Linked DNA regions of Drosophila melanogaster. The protein of the gene in region 1 interacts with the protein of each later gene in a pairwise test. Each region holds a gene or a part of one and is shown in the gene's direction. Other genes may lie near its edges. The genes, in order: Smyd5, CG13114, Fancd2 and esn.

Region 1 (3,729 bases):
TGGTGGTGGTGAGACTCATGCAGGTATTTATGGAGGGTATGATGGGAATAATGGGCATCACCATTTGGACTTGAGGCTGGGGCTTGGTGATCGGTCCCCAGGCCTCCTTTTTCATGAAGAACTCCGGTAGCCACTCCGTTATAGCGTTTCTTAAAGATGATTTAAATGATTCGTTAGCTTTTCTTGCGTTATTTACCTAGTTTTACTCACTTGAGAGCCAAGCGTGGGTGGTAAACGTTCTTAGAGAGAAACTCCGCCGGTAGGTCATCATCGTTTTCAGTCTCCAGTTTTATGTCTGCACTTAGCGAGCTGTTCACTTTCGAGTCCAGGCTGCAGCGCGACCAGAAGGCCAGCGAATGGATGGCAACAAAATTGCCATAGAATTCGCAGTTGGGATTGGTCATAACACCACGCAGGTGGGGAATAAGCTCCGGCGATCGACCGCTGTACGGTCCCATGAAGATTCGCTTCTGGTCGTAGTCGTTGGCATGAAGATTGTCCCAGATGCACGGCGGACGGCGCAGCACCTCGGTAATCTCTTGAATCGACTCAAGGGATATGTTCTTGGAGATAACCTTATCCCCCGTCCACAAAATATCGATCTCGTTGTTCAGCTTGGAGCCCAGGGTATTGAGGTACTCCGATTCCTGGACCGTTGGCACCGCTCGCGAGGCACAGTACTGGGTGGGGCAGAAGAGAAACCTGGGGCTGCCCAGATGCGTGTATATCTCGTTGGTCACCGACACGTGCGCGTTAGCAAACGTCTGAAAGACCTCCTTGTCCGCCTTTGAGAGCTCCGACTCGATGTCGTCAAAGAGCAGGGCGTAGGCCTCACACCCAAACTGCGCAACCTGGTCCAGCTTGCGCTTCAACGTTGCGATCTCCTTGGGGCTGCTGTAGGTCATGTCCAGTCCGGGCGATAACGCGTAGTAAAAGGTGATGCCCGCCTCCTTGGCCGCTGCAATGAGACCTGCATGGAAGGCACTTAACAAAAGGACTAGCTGAGTTCAAAGGTTATTTACTGGAAAGGTGATCCGCCTCCTCAACGGTGTATAGCTCTCGCCAGTAGGCGCGGTGCTTGTAGTCGTCCTTTGGTGCGTACATGTACGAAGGACTGGACCCCATGCCCATGGATTTCAGCTTGCGGAACAGGTCCTTGCGCTGCTCCGTGGTCCACGGCCGGCCGTAGAATCCCTCGATCACGCCGCAGATAAACTGCCGCTTGCCATCGGCTTGGCTGCCCGCTTCGTCTGCCATTTCTAGTAGGCCGGGGAATCGGATGTGGCAATTTGCGAGGACCAAATAAGTCTTTCTTTTCTCCTCTCTTCTCAGGATTTGTATATCGTTTGGTTCGGACAATTGCACCTTGTGCTATCGATAGCTCAAGACATCGATATACTGACATCGCAATAACCATGTTCAGTCAATTTCGGTTAGAATTGGTTTTATAAATACACAAGGTGCACCCTGTTGTTTGAGCTACACGAATCTTTGAATTGCATCTAAAAAATATCAACCCAACTAATCAGGCACTGACTATAGTTTTTTTAGATCTATGAAGAAACTAATTGAATAAGTTGCATCTTCATGACCCATTACTTGATTTTAGCCCGGAAGGAAAAGTTTATGAAATTAAACTTTAAATATTTTATAGGAAACCTTAACGGCTTAAATACCATAGTATTTTATATTCGTGCTCGAGGGTGCGGCCACACTGCACTACACGTGCAATTGGATTGGCAAAAACAAAGCCAAAAAGCCGAGTAAACAATGAATAATTTTGAAATTCGGGAGTTGCCCGGCAAGGTAGGTCAAGTCCCGTCACCATACTATCCCTGAATACATTAAAAAATTCATCAGGGACGTGCGATGATCGCGACCAAAAATTTCGCGAAGGACGAGGTGATCTTCGAGGAGGAACCGTTCGTGTCCCGGCAGTTCTCGTGGAACGTGGCCTACGGCTATGCGGCGTGTGACCACTGCATGCGGCCACTGGAGACGGTGTTAGAGAATGTGCGCCGCCTGGCCAGTGATCCCAAAGTGGAGGTGCCGCTGCTTCAACACGATCCCACCGCCCAGTGGGTGGCCCAGTTCACCCAGTGCCCACGGTGCAAGGTGCGCTACTGCTCCGAGGACTGCCTAATGGAGGCGCAGAAGCGCTACCACCGCGTGGCTTGCATGGGCGCCTTCCACTCCGACGACACACATCCCATCAATGTACTGAATGAGACTTGGAAAAAGATGCACTATCCGCCCGAGACGGGTAGCATAATGCTGATTGTCCGCCTGATGGCTCTTTACCAGCAGAGCACCAAGAAGGAGGAGTTCCTCGAGCAATTGCAGTCCTTCCAGTCGCTGATTGTGAATCGCGAGCAGAAGATCTATCACAAAATGCTGGGCGAGAACTTTGAGCAGCAGATGGAGCAGTTGTATCTTGCGTTCTGCAATGCTTTCACGGGCGAGGAGTTCTCCATAGTATGCATATCCTTACAGAGTGCGTTAAAACGCGAATACATCTTTTGTTTTCCAGTTCAAAACACCGGATGCTTTCAAGACATTGATGGCCATTCTGGGAACTAACAGCCAGGGAATTGCAACAAGCGTGCTTTCCCAGTGGGTTGCCAAGGTGTCCGATCTACCACTAACGGATTCGGAAAAGGAACAGCTCGACACGGTCATCGACGGACTGTACGCCAAAGTCGGAGAATGTAATTATTTCTCAGATCACCTTGTTAGCCAATTATCCATATCAACATCGCCCCGACAGTTGCTGGCGAATTCTTGAATAACGAGGGCTCTGGACTATACCTGCTGCAGAGCAAAATCAACCACAGTTGCGTGCCGAATGCCTGCTCCACATTTCCCTATTCCAACGACATTGTCGTGCTCAAGGCCTTGGCTCCCATTCAACAGGGCGAAGAGATCTGCATCTCCTACCTGGACGAATGCATGCTGGAGCGTAGTCGCCACTCGAGGCACAAGGTCTTGCGCGAGAACTACGTGTTCATCTGCCAGTGCCCCAAGTGCCGCGCCCAGGCGTCCGATCCCGACGAGACCAGCGAAGATGACGATGACGACGACGAAATGGACGACTACGACGATGATGACGACATGAACTAAACTAAGAATTAATTTTTTATTTCATTAAAAAGCTCTTATGTACGTACATATTGTAAAATATATTTATGTTAAAGATTTTGAAGAAGTGTACAAGTGTGCTTGTTAATGTACGTGTGGCCGTCTTTTTTCAATTTGTTGCTGCCGGGGAAGGTACATTAGGCGCTAAAAGCTCATGCACACCGTTATCCAGGGGGACTTCCCTCACCTCTATGACAAAATTGCAGAAACGTGTCATCAGGCCAAGGTACTGGAGCAGATCTTCGTCCGGTATGACATAATCCAGTTCTTTATTAAGCAAAACGAAGTTCACTATCCCAAATTTGGCGCGAACCACGTTCTTTATGTCGTTTATAGTAAGGGGGCGAGGTTCACCCGGCTCCCCTACTATTATCATTTTTTTTATATCGCCGAACTGAAACGCTATTATCGTTCTTGCAGAAAGTACCATTTTCACTGAAGCTATACTTATTTGGTTTCCCGTTTGAAAGTCAATTTCGAAAATAACAATACAGACCAATCAGAAAACTATACTTTATATAGTACAAAGCAAAAAGAATTCTGACGCAATATACAAAGTAAACTAAACACAAAAAACACACTGGACCAAAT
Region 2 (3,880 bases), on another chromosome or scaffold:
TAGCTGCTGCCACTTTGGGGGCGTCCAATTACCGGCGCAGTCGACGTCGTCGATGGCGATTCTATTGGATTTGGCTAACGCTCTGACCAATGCATCCATGGAGCATCAGTGCGAAAATGGTCGGCTGCCCGGAGACACGACAACTACTGGTCACATTGCTATTGACCCTTGGCTTCTGCCTGGGGGGAAGCTCAAAGGATACAGTTGCGGATGCGGATGCCAAGTGGATGGCTCCACTTAAGCAGTATGGGTATACGCCGCAGCATCTGAAGAACAAAGTGGAGCATGGTGAATTCACCACCTTCGAACTGGGCACCCCCAACTACCAGATTCTCAATCCCGAAGACGAACCGGAATACATAACTGCGGATCAACCGCATTATCAGGAGATGCTGAGGCGACTTACCAGTGGTCGTAGTAAAGCTGACACCATTGATGTGGAAATGGCAAGTCGCACGGAAACGGTTCGCGAGACTTCCGATCCGGGTCAATCTAAAAAACCATCTCAAATTCAAGTGCCAGTTAAACCGAAGACACAACTAAAACAAAATCGCTGGGAGAAACTAAGGAAGCGCAGCTCCATCGAAAAAAGACGTGACCACAAGGAAACCATGGAAACTGATGTGCGGGATGATCAAAGTTTCTTCCCTGATATTCAGGTTTACCCCGGCTTACCCTTCCAAAGTCGTGTAGCAAATCTAAATTAATCATAAATAAGTCACCTCATCCAAATGTGCAAATGGCTTTGATTTTAAGTGATCTCTGGTGATTCGGACAATGAATAAATACTAAAAGTATAAAAGTAAAAAAAATAAAGTACTTTTTTAAAGGACTACTTTAAATAAATCGGAGTTTTTTGCTATTTTTCTTTGTAAGGCTAAAATTGTTATGACTTTTACTCGCAATAATGAAAATAGTGATGTTGCTTATTTTTGTTAAAACAAAAAAGATTAAGAGTGCCCCCAATTTTAAGCAGAGTTTTCCCAAAATGTTGTTTAAATAATGAGCTAGACAAAATGTTAAATGGTCAAGATACTATTATTTAAATCAGTAAAGCTTTTGTACTCAATTTGTAGGAAGATAATTTAGGTATTGAGCAATATCGCTTACAAAAATACCATTATCCATAGTGTACGTGTAGACCTTGAGTTCCACAAAGAATTACAACCAAAAATTGATAAGTCAATCGACCCCAGACGTTAATATCAGATCTAGGCCGAGACCCAGAAATTATAAATCCCCCAAGCAGCTGGAAATTTTGTGCAGAACCGAAAAAATGATCATTGCGGTCGGAATGGTTTTGGCTATTTATAAAATTAAAGATTTCAGGAGGATTGTTTATTCTGGCTAATGAGAAACTGCCTAAAAAAAATGCATTATGAAGTTCGTCTTTCTCTTAAAGGTTATTGTCATGCCAAAGGTCATACATAAATATGTTTGCTATATGTTTTTGATTAAACAACTCTTGTCGCGAGCACTCCAAGCTATCGACGAGTGCGGGCAGAAATGCTTGAATGTGTATTACGGAAGCGGCGGCATCTGGCGATTGTCTTTACCCATTCCGGACCCATTCCGGACAACCACGCCCCATTCCGAGCCGTTTGGGGCGTTTGGAACGTGATGCGGTCAACGCTTCCGCGACCCATTTGCTCGGCGTTGTAAGAACGAGAAGAAGAAGCTCTCGGCCAGCGCAGCGTATTTAAGAGCTATTCAGCAAAATGCATGAAAGAGTTTCGCACGCGACCGACCAACAGCCAACAAGTGCCATCCATCGGCGATCCGGGACAGAAATTCCAGCAATTGTGGGGAAAGTGATCGAGCGAGCGAGGGAGAAATTCAGTTGAAAGGTAGGGTAACGGGGTCAATCGATTGGGAACGATTCCGGCGCAATTCTCTGACCCATTCTAAATTCAATATTCTCCCCCCTTCAGATGTTCGAACGCTGCAATTTATTATTTATGACCATGCTGATGGCATCGGCACTATTGACCCAAGCCCATTTCCCGGAATATTGTGCGGAATGTGAACAGGAGGTGTGGGAACAGGTGCCGTGCAGCGAGGTGCCCACAACGGTAGCGCCAACAACAACCGGAGGCTCTACGTTGAGCCCGCCCACAACCAGCGCCACCAGCCCGGGACCTATTTACCCAACAACAACCAGTGCCCCACCCACGCCCACGGATTACACTACACAGCCATCGGAGTACAAGAAGTGCTACTGCGAATGCAAGCTGGGCTGCAAGGAGTTCTGCCGCAAGGTGATCTCTTCTGAGCCCAAGCAGCCGCTCACCCAGATCTCATCCATTGGGGAGTATGCCCCAGGTGGCCAGGTGGAGTACACGCATGTCCATCAGCGCAAATACTTTCCCAAGTACGGAGGCGAATCCTATGGGGGATTGGTAGGACCAGTGGGCGGACCCAAGGCCTATAAGCCATATCCATTGGTCTACGAACAGGCGGCATCAGCTGCTTCACCGGCTTCCATTCCCTCGGTGGCTTCCTCACCAGCGGTGGCCAGCATAGCTGCTCCTAATTACACGCTGGAGGAGTTGGCCCAATTGCTTAGCACTGCGTATGGCACCAAGAAGGGCTACCCAGCTAGTGTGCCAACTCCGCCACGTATTCAGCTTCAGCCAGCTCCCTCCGTTTTCTATTCCCCGGTTCCAAGCTACAAAAAGCAAGTGGTTCCACTCGTGAGCAAAGTGGCGCCGGCACCCAAAATCTCCTCCAGCATTAAGTATGCCGCCTCAGCGGTTTCATCATCATCATCGGGCGTGTCGGTGGCCAAGATAAAGACTCCCTACGAGGAGAAGATTGTGGTGGCCACACCGTCTCCCATTTATGAGAGATCCACATCGTATCCTATTGTTGAAGCACCCAAGGAATACTCGGCGCCCCAGACGGAAGTCTATCCCGTTGTGCAGAGCCAAACGGAGTCGTATCCCAGCCACACACCCATATATCCAAGTCCCACGGAATCCTATCCCAGCCAAAAGGACTCCTACCCCAGCATCACAGAGTCATATCCCAGCCAAACTGAGTCCTATCAACCGCGTACGGAAGCCTATCCCGTACCCCAACCGGAGATCAAGCCATATGGTGGTCCCGATTCTGGACCCGATAAGCCATCGTCCACGTTCGATCTGGCCATCGATAATTATCTGAAGGACTTCGGATATGGCAACCAAGGAAGGGGATATGCGGACTACTAAAGTTCCATACGTTGTTTTTTAGGATTAGTCTAGGCTAGAATGTTTTCTAGGTATCCCATTATTTATTGATGTACTCCCCGTTTCCTGTTGACTACATGATGATTAAATAAATTATTAACAAAAAACTAAAGAATATTATGGTCTTAGTATTATAGTTGAAATAACTATTGCATACTTTTGGGCTATAAAGTAGCAATTTCCCCCCTTCGATTTTGTTAAAAGAATTAATGAAACAAGAGATAAAAATTTACAAGACTAATAAAATTATGAAAAAAAGCTTTTATAGTTCCTGAAATCTCGACTTTCATACGGACATAACCAGATCGACTTGGCTATTGATCCTATTGATCAAGAATATATATACTTTATACATAGTATAAAGTAGCGAGTTTGCTACTTTTCAAAAACGATCATTTATAATTCGGCTTGACGCATTTTATTATTTGTATTTAAAAAGTTTTCTTCATTTGCATTCATTTTTTTATATACTTTCTTGTTGTCGATAACATTGAATAAGATTTCATCTTACGCATTTCGCCAGCTTAATTCTGGTTTATGCTTGCCAATTTTGATAAGCATAGATATATACACAAATTAGATTCATAAATTTTCGTATGCAAATATATATGATTTATGCAATATGAATGTTTTCAAACAGCGCTTATTTA
Region 3 (7,801 bases), 410 kb from region 1:
AGGTTCTTAATGAGTTTTTCTTATATCTTAAAACATTCGTTACACGAATACGAGTAGGCATAAAAAAACCTTACGACGAATTGTTACATTGTACATTCTATTACAAGTTTTCTGCAGTATAATGACCATTTTGTCAAAATTTCAAATAATTTTCTAAATATATAACCCTGATATGTGTAATAAAGTCTTCAAGTTGTGTTGGACATTAGACCAATTGGTAAACCCATTCCTTAGATTAAATTATTTTCCTTTAAAGGGAGAATGGATATTAAATAACACAGAAAATTTACTTGTAGGGCTGCCATGCAGTCTGGCGGACGACCCCGCGAGCGATTGCTGTACGCCTTCCGGGGATGGATAGCATTCGTGGCCTTCATGGACCTGGGCACGGCCTTTAGGAGCTACATAGAAAGACGCAGCTTCCTGGGCGATCACAGCGACACCCAGTTCATAGAGGGTAAGTGGGGATGGATTGAGCTGCTGGAGTCGCATTTGATGGGTTCTTTCACAGGGGACTACACCATATCGCGGATCATCGGGATGTACTGCCTGCTGAAGGCCATCGCTCTCGTCCACTGCACCCTCTACATTCACTACAAGCCGTAAGTGAATCCCATATATCCTCTGGTTAGATTATCGTCACTAATGGGGATATTTCCCTACGTTTAGGGTGGTCAGCATGGGCGGCTGCTCATTGGCCCTCACCATGGTCTTCTATGCCACCGAGGCACTCTACTTTCGCTCCAGCACCATTAACTTCTACGTGATCTTCCCGTGTGTGCTAAATTGTAAGTAAACACAACTAAAATTCAGTAATAACAAATTATATCTTTTTTGTAACACCCCGAACCATTTAGTAAATTGAATCTTTCGCCTTTTTAGCTATAACTCTACTGGGCCTCATCTATATACCCAAACGACTGCGGCTCTGGGAGCCAAATATGGATCTGGATGACGAAAACTCACAGCTGCTCAAGCAAATGACGGGCTTCAAGAGACGACGAGCGAAAAAACAATAGTTTATTACTATCTAGAAATATGAAAAGCAATAACCGGAAGACACTGAGTTGAGTTTCCGTTAGCACAGTATTGTGAAAGAATCGCAAATTTCGCTTTGGACTGCATTGGTGTGATAGAATCGGCATCATGTTCATCATTATATATACTCAATAGCAATACTGAAAACAACGCCAAATTAGTGATTTTCTATGAACTAGGTAGTGAAGGGTCTAAATGGCCCCGGAATAAGTCAATTTCTGGCATAATCACTTCAAGACATACATATGTTGTACTTCCTTTTTATAAAGCGTATTTATATACATTTAAAAATGTATGGCACAATAGAGTTTTTGCACTTTTAAGAGTTGAAAATCGATACTAGGAAATATTTATCTAATTATCAGAGACATCTAGCACCCGAGTTAAATAATTAAAATCGAAAGGCTTTAAATTAACAAATAAGCTCATAATCATCTTATTTACATATACGATTATCAATTTATGGATCATGCTTCCGTATCGATCATAAAATTAAGGAACATTTTATAGTCATTACGTATGATTGAATGTTATGTAAACCTAAAAAAAAGAAAATACAATAATAGTTTTGTACGAATTATGTAGATTATGTTTCAATAAAAATTTGAATTGACGAAAGTGGATTTTTATTTAGACTTCTACACACAGTGCTCTAAAGGTCGTTTCTTCATTTATTTTGTTAGATTTTAATTAGTAATGTTAAAAAAAAATAAGTATTTCTATAAGAGTTGAATTATTAGTTAATTTTTATAATCATTTGAAAATCGTAAAATTTGTATAAGAATTGTTACGATATTCGTTATTGCGCTTAGCGAATTCACGAACCTCGACCACCGCGGCTATCGATAAAAACTGATGTCAATGCTCGGTCACACTGCACCTGCATACGCGCCATTAAATTGTTTTGTTTTTATTATTTTGTGATTTAAGATTGAAGATTGAAGCTTATAAAGCTTTCCAGTACTATGTATAAACAATTTAAAAAACGCTCAAAGAAACCTCTGAACACCATCGATGAGAACGCGACCATAAAAGTGCCGGTAAGTGGACATTCGGACCAGTCGGAATTTGGAACTCCATTTACTTGACCAAAATCTGTGTTTCAGCGCCTGGCGGAGACGACCACAAATATATCCGTTGAGTCCTCATCTGGCGGAAGCGAGGAGAACATACCCGCCTCCCAGGAGCACACGCAGCGATTTCTGTCGCAGCACAGTGTTATCCTGGCCGCCACTCTGGGTCGCACTCAATCCTCCAGCCGGAACATTGCAACGCTCTCCCGACAACCGAACAACTTTTTCGAACTGGTCCTGGTTCGAGCAGGGGTCCAGTTGGACCAGGGTGATAGCCTCATCCTGGCCTGCGATCATGTCCCCATAGTCTCCAAGCTGCGGGAAATCTTTACGAGTGCCTCCTCGTATACCGACAAAATGGAGACATTCAAGACGGGTCTGAATGCTGCAATGGCGCCTGGGTCGAAGCTGGTGCAGAAGCTCCTAACCGGCTGCACCGTGGACGCAGCTGGCGAGGAACAGATCTACCAGTCCCAGAACAGCATGTTTATGAACTTCCTCATGATCGACTTTATGCGAGATGCCTGCGTGGAGGTGCTGCTGAACAAGATCGAGGAGGTGGCCAAATCTGATCGAGTCATAATGGGCAAAGCAGCTATTCCCTTGCCACTGCTACCGCTGATGCTGACGCAACTGCGCTACTTGACCGCCTCGCACAAAGTAGAGATCTACAGTCGCATCGAGGTCATTTTCAACAGGGCTACGGAATCGGCCAAATTGGACATCATAGCCAATGCTGAGTTGATACTCGATGCCAGTATGCACGATGAGTTCGTCGAGCTGCTTAAGTAAGTAAAATTATTTAAAGCAGAGCAGAAGAATTTGTGTACTCGCTCGCTCTATGGACTATCTACGTTCTTTCTTACTAATCGTATAATTTAATTTCGTGGCAGCATCAACTATTCCAGCACTGAAGACCTCTTTCACATGACCACAGTGCAAACTCTGGGTAACTTATCGCTTTCAGACAGAACGCAGGCCAAGTTACGAGTGCGCATTTTGGACTTCGCCACAAGTGGTCAATGTTCGGATGCGGTAATTTGAAAATTAGACCGATTCTAGAATTCTATTTAAATGTTTTGTTATCTTAGATCTTGCCGCATCTCATCAGGCTGCTGCTTAACGTTCTGAAAATTGATACAGATGACAGCGTGCGCGACGTAAGGTTCTTACTCCGTTCCCTAAGCATTCGGTTTCAGTTCGTTCATTTGCAGTTGATAGGCAGCCTGCGTGGAATCTTCAACTGGCGTCACACAAATGAGACGGAAAAAATCTCGGCAAGCGAAGACAGTAAGAAGTCTCAGCTGGAACTTTTTGGCTTCCTAGAACTAGGCTTGATACGATCGAAGAAGTTTTATCAAGCGTGCCAAAGGTCATCTGCTAGTGTGCCAGCTGCCGAATTTACGTGAGTACATAGACTGGCCTATACGAATTCAAGTTTAAATAATTACATATTTGCAGCTCCTTTGACATGATACTTCTGCTTTTGTTGATACATGTTAATGAAGATAATTCATTGTACATCGAAAATATTGTAAGTATTCCTTAAAAAATAAAAAAAAAAATAAATTCATTACATTTTACTAATTCGTCAGCTTCGACGACGCATTAAACTGGAGCATATTACAGTGAGCATTTTGGAAGAGATACGACAGCACTATAGACACATCCTGGAGCAGCACATAACCACACTGATGAACATCCTTCACGACTTTATGCGAGAGAAAAATCGCATCGTGTCCGATTTCGCCAAATCTTCGTACAGGTGTGGTTACCTAAAGAACCCTAAAGAAAAATCATATTAATTTCTACTTTGTTTTTTTTTTTTGCAGTATACTTTTTAAGATTTTTAACTCGATCCAGAAAAATATTCTAAAGAAGCTGTTGGAGCTTACCTGTGACAAATCATCGCCCCACCTGACAACAATGGCACTGGAATTGCTTCGCGAGCTGCAACGAAAGAGTGCCAAGGATGTTCAGAATTGTGCAACTCTACTTATACCCATGCTGGATAGGATAAGTGATCTAAGTCTTACACAAACCCGCGTTGCTATGGACCTTCTGTGCCATGTCGCATTTCCGGATCCAAATCTATCGCCCTGCCTGCAACTCCAAGAGCAAGTCGATATGGTGGTTAAAAAGCAGCTGATCAACTCCATTGATAATATTAAAAAGCAGGGAATTATTGGCTGTGTGCAACTCATCGATGCAATGGCACGCATCGCGAACAATGGTGTTGATCGTGACGAGTTTATTGCCAGCGTGGAAAACGTCGATTCCTTGCCCGATGGCCGAGGCAAAATGGCTGCCAACTTAATCAGTAATTAAGTGCCTGACATACTTAAACGTGTATATTAATATTTTTTCCATGCAGTACGCACCGAGGCATCAATAGGAAATAGTACCGAGTCCTTAGCCCTGTTTTTTGAAGAACTGGCCACGGTTTTCAATCAGCGCAATGAAGGAACCTCCGGCTGTGAGTTGGACAACCAATTCATTGCTTGGGCCTGCGACTTAGTGACATTCCGCTTCCAGGCAAGCTTTGTCACCGAGAATGTGCCCGAGACTTTAAAGTATGTACTGACTTTTTTAAACAAGTATGTCGCTAATCAAATTTGCTTTTAAGGGGAATTAAACTGGAATATCAGTTAAATATCAATGAATTGGACGATACAGATGCAAACACTGAATCGGATGTCCTTAATATTGGCATAAATATCTCAAAACTAGTTTTATCACCCAAAGTGAAGTGAGTTTCTTATCTCATGAGTTTCATAAAGCTTTTGTATTTTAACGTACCCATTTACAGAGCTTGTGATTCTATATACGTGCTGGCTCCTCTGTTCAACTATGTCAGAGTGCTGTACAAGCACCGCCACCAAGACAGCTTGGAGAGCATCAATGCTTTACTAGGCTGTGCCATTGTGTTGCCCTCATTCTTTGAGGATGACAACTATGTGTCCGTTTTTGAAAACTTTGAGGCGGAGCAGCAAAAAGACATTTTGAGCATTTACTTTCACACCGTCAATTGGATGAGGGTGTCGATCAGTGCGTTTGCATCACAACGTGATCCTCCCACACGGCGTCGAGTTCTATCTAGACTTGGAGAACTAATTCGTATCGAGCAGAGAATGAAGCCCCTCCTGGCGAGAGCGCCCGTCGACTTCGTGGCACCGCCATATCAATTCCTCACCAACGTCAAGCTCTCGAACCAGAATCAGAAACGTCCAGGGCCTAAGCCAGCTGCCAAACTAAACGCAACTCTACCAGAACCCGATTTAACTGGTAATCAACCATCGATCGCTGACTTCACCATTAAGGTTGGCCAGTGCAAGACCGTTAAGACGAAGACTGACTTTGAGCAGATGTATGGGCCGCGGGAGAGATACAGGCCAATGGAAGTGGAAATCATCATGCTCTTGGTCGAGCAGAAGTTTGTCCTGAACCACCAGCTGGAAGAGGAGCAAATGGGGGAGTTTCTTGGTCTTCTGGAGCTACGATTCCTGCTGGAAGACGTGGTTCAAAAACTTGAAGCAGCAGTCCTTCGACATCACGATTCTTATGATGCGGACAGCTTTAGGCCGCATCTGGCCAAACCGGAGGATTTTATTTGCGATCTACTTCCATGCCTACACGAGGTGAATAATCACCTAATAACCCTGGGCGAGGCCATTGACAATCAGCTTACGGAAGTCAGTCATGTGTACAGCAATCTGGATCTGTTTAAGGATCAATTTTGCTATATCAAATCGTGCTTTGGGCTGTGCGTCCGGCTGTTTGCCTTGTACTTCGCCTGGAGCGAGTGGAGTGATAAGTCGCAGGAACAACTGCTCCATAGTAAGGTGTTTTAAATTTTACGCAAACCTTAAAATGTAACGTTACTATTTTTGCAGAGTCTTTGCTTAAGCTACAGCCTAAAACACAATGGAAGAGACTAGAGAAGCAAAGTGTTCCTCAGCTGGCCAACCTAACTTTTCAATACTTTCTAAAGTATGAGAAATCCGTCCTGAATCTTAGTACTGCAGTACATCTTCATCGATTGTTGTGTAACTTGTTAAAGCTGGGCAGTTTACAGAGCGATGCTAGCCAACCGAGATTTCAGCAAGCCGAGGACTTACGTAAGCACTAACCATGAAATATGAAGTGCAATTTTAGAATTTATTACTCATGCAGGGATACTGTGTGGCACGCTGCTGCGCCGTAAATGGTTCCACTACTCTGGCACCTTGGACAAAGGTGGTCAGTGCAATATTTATTTGGACGAGCTGGTTAAGGGATTCCTGAAAAAATCGAATGCCAAGAGTCAAACCGAACTACTTACTGAGCTGGTTAAACAATGCAGCATACTGAATACGAAGGACAAAGCACTGACATCCTTCCCCAACTTTAAAAAGTAAGAAAATCAGTTGATCCGTATTTTGTATGTTTTATTAATTCTTTCCCCTCATAGGGCCAACTTCCCACTACTCTTTCGTGGACTGTGCGAGGTGCTTATTCACTCCCTAAGTGGTCAAGTTAGCGTCGACAGCCGTGGTGATAAATTGAAGTTATGGGAGTCAGCAGTCGATTTGTTGAATGGCTTGCTCAGCATTGTGCAGCAGGTGGAACAGCCCAGAAACTTTGGGCTGTTTCTAAAACACTCCCTGCTATTCCTTAAATTGCTGCTTCAGCACGGAATGTCTGCGCTGGAATCTATTGTTCGGGAAGATCCCGAAAGGCTAACAAGGTTTTTGCACGAGCTCCAGAAGGTGACACGCTTTCTGCACCAACTCTGCTGTCATTCCAAGTCCATTAAGAATACGGCTATAATCAGCTATATTCCCAGCCTGCGGGAAACGATTGAGACGCTGGTCTTCCGAGTCAAAGCCCTGTTGGCTGCCAACAACTGTCATTCTGCTTTCCACATGGGAAATATGATCAACAGGGATCTCCACGGAGATTCTATCATAACACCCAGGAGTTCCTTCGCCGGCGAGGAAAACAGCGACGATGAATTACCTGCGGACGACACCAGCGTAGATGAAACCGTCTTGGGCGATGACATGGGCATCACCGCCGTTAGCGTGAGCACAAGGCCCAGCGATGGGAGTCGTCGGAGCAAGTCCTCCTCCCGCAGCAAATGCTTTTAAATAGCGTAATACGACTAATAAGAATTTCAAATAAATCAGTGACGTTGACGCAGAGTCATGGCGTTTTATTTGTTTAGTAGTCTAGAATTGAGCAGACGACGATGTTTGCATTCTTTATTTATTTCATTTTATTATCTGGATGCAATTTTATTTAATTTTCGTATTACAAATAATAACAAATGTATGTATATCAAATATTTTAGTACAATATGCTTCATTTCATTTATTTTCTTCGTTAACAATAATTGTTTATTAAGACGTAAAAGTTGTTCTCCCATTTTTCTCACATTCGGCCTTCCTCTACGATGAACTCTGATTGTTTATTTTTATTATTTAATTTCCATTTGTTTTTATCTCGTAATAATTGGCGACGTTACGTTCACGGTTTATGAATCCCTTTCATACGTGTGGTATGTGTATGCAAATGTTTTGTGATGTTGTATATCAATTGGTTGTTTATAAAAGGGGGTTTAAAATCAAATCAATCAAGTATAATTGTATAGGTATATGTAATTAAAAGAGCAAGAAAACACACACAAACTATAAATTTAAAGTAAAACA
Region 4 (4,942 bases), on another chromosome or scaffold:
GGCAACTTTTGACTTACACGTGTACGTTGCACGTTCAAATCTCAACTTTTACGACCTCTGCAGGATATTATCGTCGTTGTTTTACTAGCGTCACTTTCGGGCTTGTTGTTTTTTGCGCTCCTGCTGCAATGACGTTGACTTTAACCTGTTGGCCATGGCCAAAGTGGGAAAAGGGCTACACTTGGAAAAATTATCCCCACTTTTCACTTCTTTACAGTATTCAGTCAGGAGTATTCATATTGTCATTTAAATCAAGCAGAACATCCTTCTTTAAGATGTGGTCGGGAAATGTAGTGAATCTAATTCAGAAGTTAGTTTTATAGTTGAATGGAGCTTAAAGGCATTGTCTATCGACCATACAACCAATGATTGATTACTAACGATAATGATAATACAATCACCTTGAGCATCTAATGTTCTCAGTGCACCAATTTTCACCTGCTGCTGGCATCTGACAACTGCTTTCGCTGACATTTCTCCAGTTGGAGACCGTGTGTCTCGGTTTTAATCAAAATTGTTTCATGAATTGTTCAGTTGTTCCAACTGTCAAATAAAGTTTTGACGCCCCTCTTTTCGGAAAACTCCGGGCAATTAAAATACTTTTGGCAGTCACTTGCTTATTTCGTTTGCCTTCAGCCGCTTCATGTTGGCTGTTCTCTTCTGGCCTGGTCCTCAATTAGTTGGGCCATTTCGCCCATCACTCTTTGAGTGTCGAAAGAGAGTGCAAATATTTAACGTTAAATGGGGAAATTAATTTATTTACTTTCGTCTTTCATTGCAGTTGGTGAAACAATTTGTTAAAACGCAAACTTCGCAATGGCAATTCGTTTGGGAGAGTTTTGAAGGTAAGTTAAAAATTCAATTGAATCCTTTAGCTTGTAGTAAAGGTCACTAATTTTAAATTATTTCTGGTTGTTAGTAGCCAGAGAAGAAAGTATAATTGCAAAGTGTGAGAAGTTAGCGGCTCTAATTAATTCATCGAGAGAGACACTTTATATAGCGACTCAAAATAATTCAACGAAAGACACATTTTATATTGTGCAAATAATTTTCATAGCATTTTTATATCCGAGATAGTTAGTGGAATGCCTCGGAAGTGAAACTGGTCTTTGATCTATTAAGTCGATTATCAAAATCACCACATAACTTTAAACTAAAAACCATTTTGAAGAATACTTATCCCAAATATCAACAGGACATAATTGCACTGGCTAGTAAATTCTAGCTCAGCCTCAATTGCAATGAATCAGTAGCTGCGTGTTAATTGAATAATATGTGAAATCGGTGTCGACTCCATTACCGTCCGTGTGCTGCCACAAGAAGAGAGTCCCGTGCAGCATAGGGAAGCCACAAACCCTAATTTCCAATGATTGGTTTGTTCCCTCGTCCACGTTCCATCCGCCCGTCTTCATTTCCATTCCGGGGCAAACGGATGGATTTCATGAGAGGGGCCTTACCCGATTACCACATTTTCACCAAGCCCGCAGTCTAATGACCACCTATGAGTGCGCTGCTAATGTGGTAACACAACGCCCAAGGGACGCTGGCCGTGGTCTTCCCTTGTTGGCCGTGATTGAAATGGGTCAATCGCTAAACGGCCTGAAATGTGTCAAATGGCCCGAAGACAGCTGCATCAACCAGTTGCAGCTACCAGAATCTGCCTCTTCAATAGCTGGCTAATAAACGCCACCACATTCTGGCTCGAATCCGAAGCACTCAACCGAAAGCCACTCGACTCACCTGTGCCACCTGTTTTACCTGCACTTGCTTGGGCCACAAGAGCGAGCGAGAGATATATAGATGAGAGAAAGAGAGCTGTGGTGAGTTGGCTGGATCGTCTTGGTGGTGAGTTTGACCTGCACCAACCTGGCCAAAAGCCGCCTTTCGGCCAACAGCTACTTTCTACAATCTTCAGTTGTTTGAGCAGCCCCAAAGCGAGCGGTGCGAGTGCTGTTCTTTCGCGAACCAGGAATTCAGATAGAATCCCAGCCGATACGTATCAATCCGATCGCGAGTGCACGTAATTGGAGCAAGCGGATCGCCCGTTAATTGCTGGCGACGGTAATTGCAGGCCGCCGCATACCTGCCAACTGCTTAAGGTGTTCCCCGTTCGTTAATGTGTCAATTGATTGATTGGCCCGCGACCCGTGATTGACGTGCGTTCCACTCACCGCGATGCTCTCGAAGAAGCGCTGGTGGAAGATCCGGCTGCCGCAGGTGGGCAAGCAGGATCAGTCGAGGAACTACCGGGACATCGTCAACCTGAGCGAGTGCTCCTCAGTGCTGGCCAACACGGCCACCACGATTAGCGACAGCTCCACCACCACCGCCAGCAGCGGCAGTCCCACCCGCCACCGGAGCTGCGACAGTCTCTCCAAGAGCTCCCAGGCGGAGGCGGGCAAGCTGTTCCCCCGGAACATGCCCAGCATACGGCGGAGTCGCCGACGGGCTGTGTCCGCGGAAAGGGAGCGCCTGGCCAGCCGGGAGCGGCTGGAGGAGCAGGTTCAGCCGCCGAAAATGCCGCAGATAGGAGCTGGACAGCAGTCCCGGCTATCGACGGTGACCAAACTGACGCCCAGGAAGCAGAGTAGCAAGTCCACGTGCTCCAAACATCGGGGCAACGCCCCTGCGAAGTGCATCATCAAGTCGGCAGTGCGAACCAAGACCAAGCCAAAGGCCACCACGATCACCCTAGCACCCTACGAAATAGCGCTGGAGCTGCCCAACGAATCCCCTGCACCCACTTTGGCCATGGCCGTGGCCCAATCCTCCGGCTGCGTGCAGAGGAAGCTGAGCAGCGAGGATCAGTTCCACTCCTCGGGAATCTCCTGCAACGGGGAGACCGACGATGACGTGGAGGTGGCCATGCTGACCGGCAGCTTAACGCCCTCCCAGATAGCAAGGATCCAGGGGCAGCAGATCCTCCGATATGACGATCTGAGGAACCTGAACCGCTGCCGCAACAGGAACGCCGTTTGGCTAAATCCCAAGGATACGGAGCAGCTCCTCGAGGTGGACAAGAGCAGGAGGAAGGCCAACTGCTACTTCAACCAGGCCATTGCCGACGATATCCAGCTCAGCGATATTGAAGAACAATTGGCCAGATTTGATGGCCACTCAAAGAGGCCGCCACCGCCGGCAGCCACAGCACCCAAAATGTGAGTTTCCACCGGCTATCTCTAATGGCCATAACTCTCGGCGATAAGTGGGCGAGGGAAAGCGGAGTTGTCGGCGGGAATGTGGCCAACTAATTTGAAATCCATTTGATGAGCTTTGCATTTCCCAATTTAAGTGACTATAAAACGGGCGTCGCAGTAGAGAGTTTACGGCCCAATTTGATGGCTGCTTAATAGCTTCATATGAGCCGTGCTCCGTGCTCCGAGTTGAGGAGCAGTTGGGTTCTGGAGGATTCTATTCCTAACCACTGGAATCATACTTTATGGTTCTTCAAATTAAACTGGCTATTCGAAGTTATAGGCAAGGCAGATCGCATTAAAATGGGCTGGCACACTGACAGCTTTATAGATTTCCGACTTACGTTGAGTTAATACTCGTTATATTGAAAATGGCCGCTTTCGTGTTTGGTAATTTAATACCTTTTAGCTGCCGTTGAAAATGTGGGTCTGCAACTTTCTACCAATGTTGTTTTTACAACTATTGAAAGAGAAGTACGAAGGCCAAACAATTTACCGAATTTACCGACTACAATTGCAATTGTTTAAAAGGTAATAAACCAATGGACACGATTGTTGTTTTTGGCCCTTGGGTTTATAGCCCATTTGAAGTTTGCAATGTTAATATGGAATTAATCCCGTGATCTTTTTTTCTGTTGTCATTTTTGTCACCATCGCCATTTCTTTCCCTTATTAGATTTCATATTGTTTAGGATAAATTAATTTCTTCAGAACTTCTTAAGGAATCCAGAACGATAAGGCATACCTCTTTGGCGGCTCATAAATAGAGCGGAGTTTATCATTTTCACCTGATCAACAGCCGTTGTTGGCTACGCGTATCAGTTTCAATTGCGCTGAGAGTACAAATCCTACAGGTCACCCTCGAATAATGGCACAAATAATCCGCCATAAGAGGCTCTGTCAGCTGGAGGCGACTTTGTGGGCTCGCTAAGAAGGTGTTATTAATGCCCGACTATTTGCAAAACTGGCACCGGAAAGTTATTTATCAACTTTCTGGCCAGCACGTGCTCCTTCCTTCGCCTCGCTGTCGAGTTTTGTTAACTGCAAAATGAATTGCATGCAGCTAAGTGGCAACAGCAGCGGTTAAACGAGGCTGGCAGAACTTCGGGTCCACTGAGCCCATCCTCACGAGGTCCTTCTCCTCCGATCGCCCGTCACCTTGTGTTTGCATCCTGCAGCCTCATAAATTCCATCCGACGACTTCATAAATTGAGTTCTTTTTGCCGCCTGACTGAGTGCCCTTCATCGAAAAGGTATTCTGTATCTTTCAGATCTTTCAGATCTTTCAGGTCCTCGGCATCTTTGCCATTTCTGCCATCTCTTCCATCTTTTGTATTCTCTGCATTCCGCATGCAGACTTCATTTGCATGGACTTCTGTTCATAAATCTACGCAAACTGTTAATTAGATTTTGTTTTGGGTGAAGCCATAAAATATTGGTGGAAGGAGTGCGCCATCAATTTCCCTTAAACAGAACTTTGTAATTTGAGACGCACATCCACCTCCAGTTCCACCTCCAGTTCCACATCCATATGCACATCCTCTCGAGCCATTCGCAATCAGCGGGGCTATTACATTCGCAGTTTAAATAAACCAAACCCAATATTGACTGGCGGCTACTTAAAGCGTAATTAAGCGCCTGGCCGGCCGAACACTTTGCATAGGAATCTCAACAATAAAGTAAATAAGTTGGGACCGCCGGCGGCCCTCTTTTGCCAGCCTGGCTAATTGAAGTTGGCCAGAAGCGAG

The links.
Region 2: the proteins of Smyd5 (region 1) and CG13114 interact in a two-hybrid assay, tested with the Drosophila melanogaster proteins (one large-scale study listed by BioGRID).
Region 3: the proteins of Smyd5 (region 1) and Fancd2 interact in a two-hybrid assay, tested with the Drosophila melanogaster proteins (one large-scale study listed by BioGRID).
Region 4: the proteins of Smyd5 (region 1) and esn interact in a two-hybrid assay, tested with the Drosophila melanogaster proteins (one large-scale study listed by BioGRID).

Annotation. Positions count from the first base shown.
Region 1 is NT_033777.3:21,216,750-21,220,478, reverse strand, and holds Smyd5 (SET and MYND domain containing, class 5), read left to right. Parts: upstream 1-1,687; 5' UTR 1,688-1,770; coding exon 1,771-1,806; intron 1,807-1,860; coding exon 1,861-2,475; intron 2,476-2,530; coding exon 2,531-2,708; intron 2,709-2,767; coding exon 2,768-3,120; 3' UTR 3,121-3,211; downstream 3,212-3,729. Other genes in the region: Oga (O-GlcNAcase), read right to left, coding at 1-149, 211-970, 1,023-1,257.
Region 2 is NT_033779.5:9,544,086-9,547,965, forward strand, and holds CG13114 (uncharacterized protein), read left to right. Parts: upstream 1-1,725; 5' UTR 1,726-1,847; intron 1,848-1,931; coding exon 1,932-3,212; 3' UTR 3,213-3,339; downstream 3,340-3,880. Other genes in the region: CG13113 (uncharacterized protein), read left to right, coding at 90-707.
Region 3 is NT_033777.3:20,810,296-20,818,096, reverse strand, and holds Fancd2 (Fancd2), read left to right. Parts: upstream 1-1,906; 5' UTR 1,907-2,003; coding exon 2,004-2,078; intron 2,079-2,144; coding exon 2,145-2,899; intron 2,900-3,004; coding exon 3,005-3,146; intron 3,147-3,202; coding exon 3,203-3,271; intron 3,272-3,325; coding exon 3,326-3,516; intron 3,517-3,572; coding exon 3,573-3,645; intron 3,646-3,706; coding exon 3,707-3,876; intron 3,877-3,943; coding exon 3,944-4,431; intron 4,432-4,485; coding exon 4,486-4,684; intron 4,685-4,737; coding exon 4,738-4,860; intron 4,861-4,920; coding exon 4,921-5,948; intron 5,949-6,004; coding exon 6,005-6,229; intron 6,230-6,284; coding exon 6,285-6,504; intron 6,505-6,561; coding exon 6,562-7,240; 3' UTR 7,241-7,293; downstream 7,294-7,801. Other genes in the region: CG17270 (uncharacterized protein), read left to right, coding at 297-457, 512-602, 670-788, 883-1,019. UniProt on the Drosophila melanogaster protein: Required for maintenance of chromosomal stability. Together with Fancl, and probably Fanci, involved in DNA repair of damage caused by agents that induce interstrand cross-links but not agents that cause double strand breaks.
Region 4 is NT_033778.4:7,104,767-7,109,708, forward strand, and holds the start of esn (espinas), read left to right. Parts: upstream 1-1,913; 5' UTR 1,914-2,175; coding exon 2,176-3,158; intron 3,159-4,942.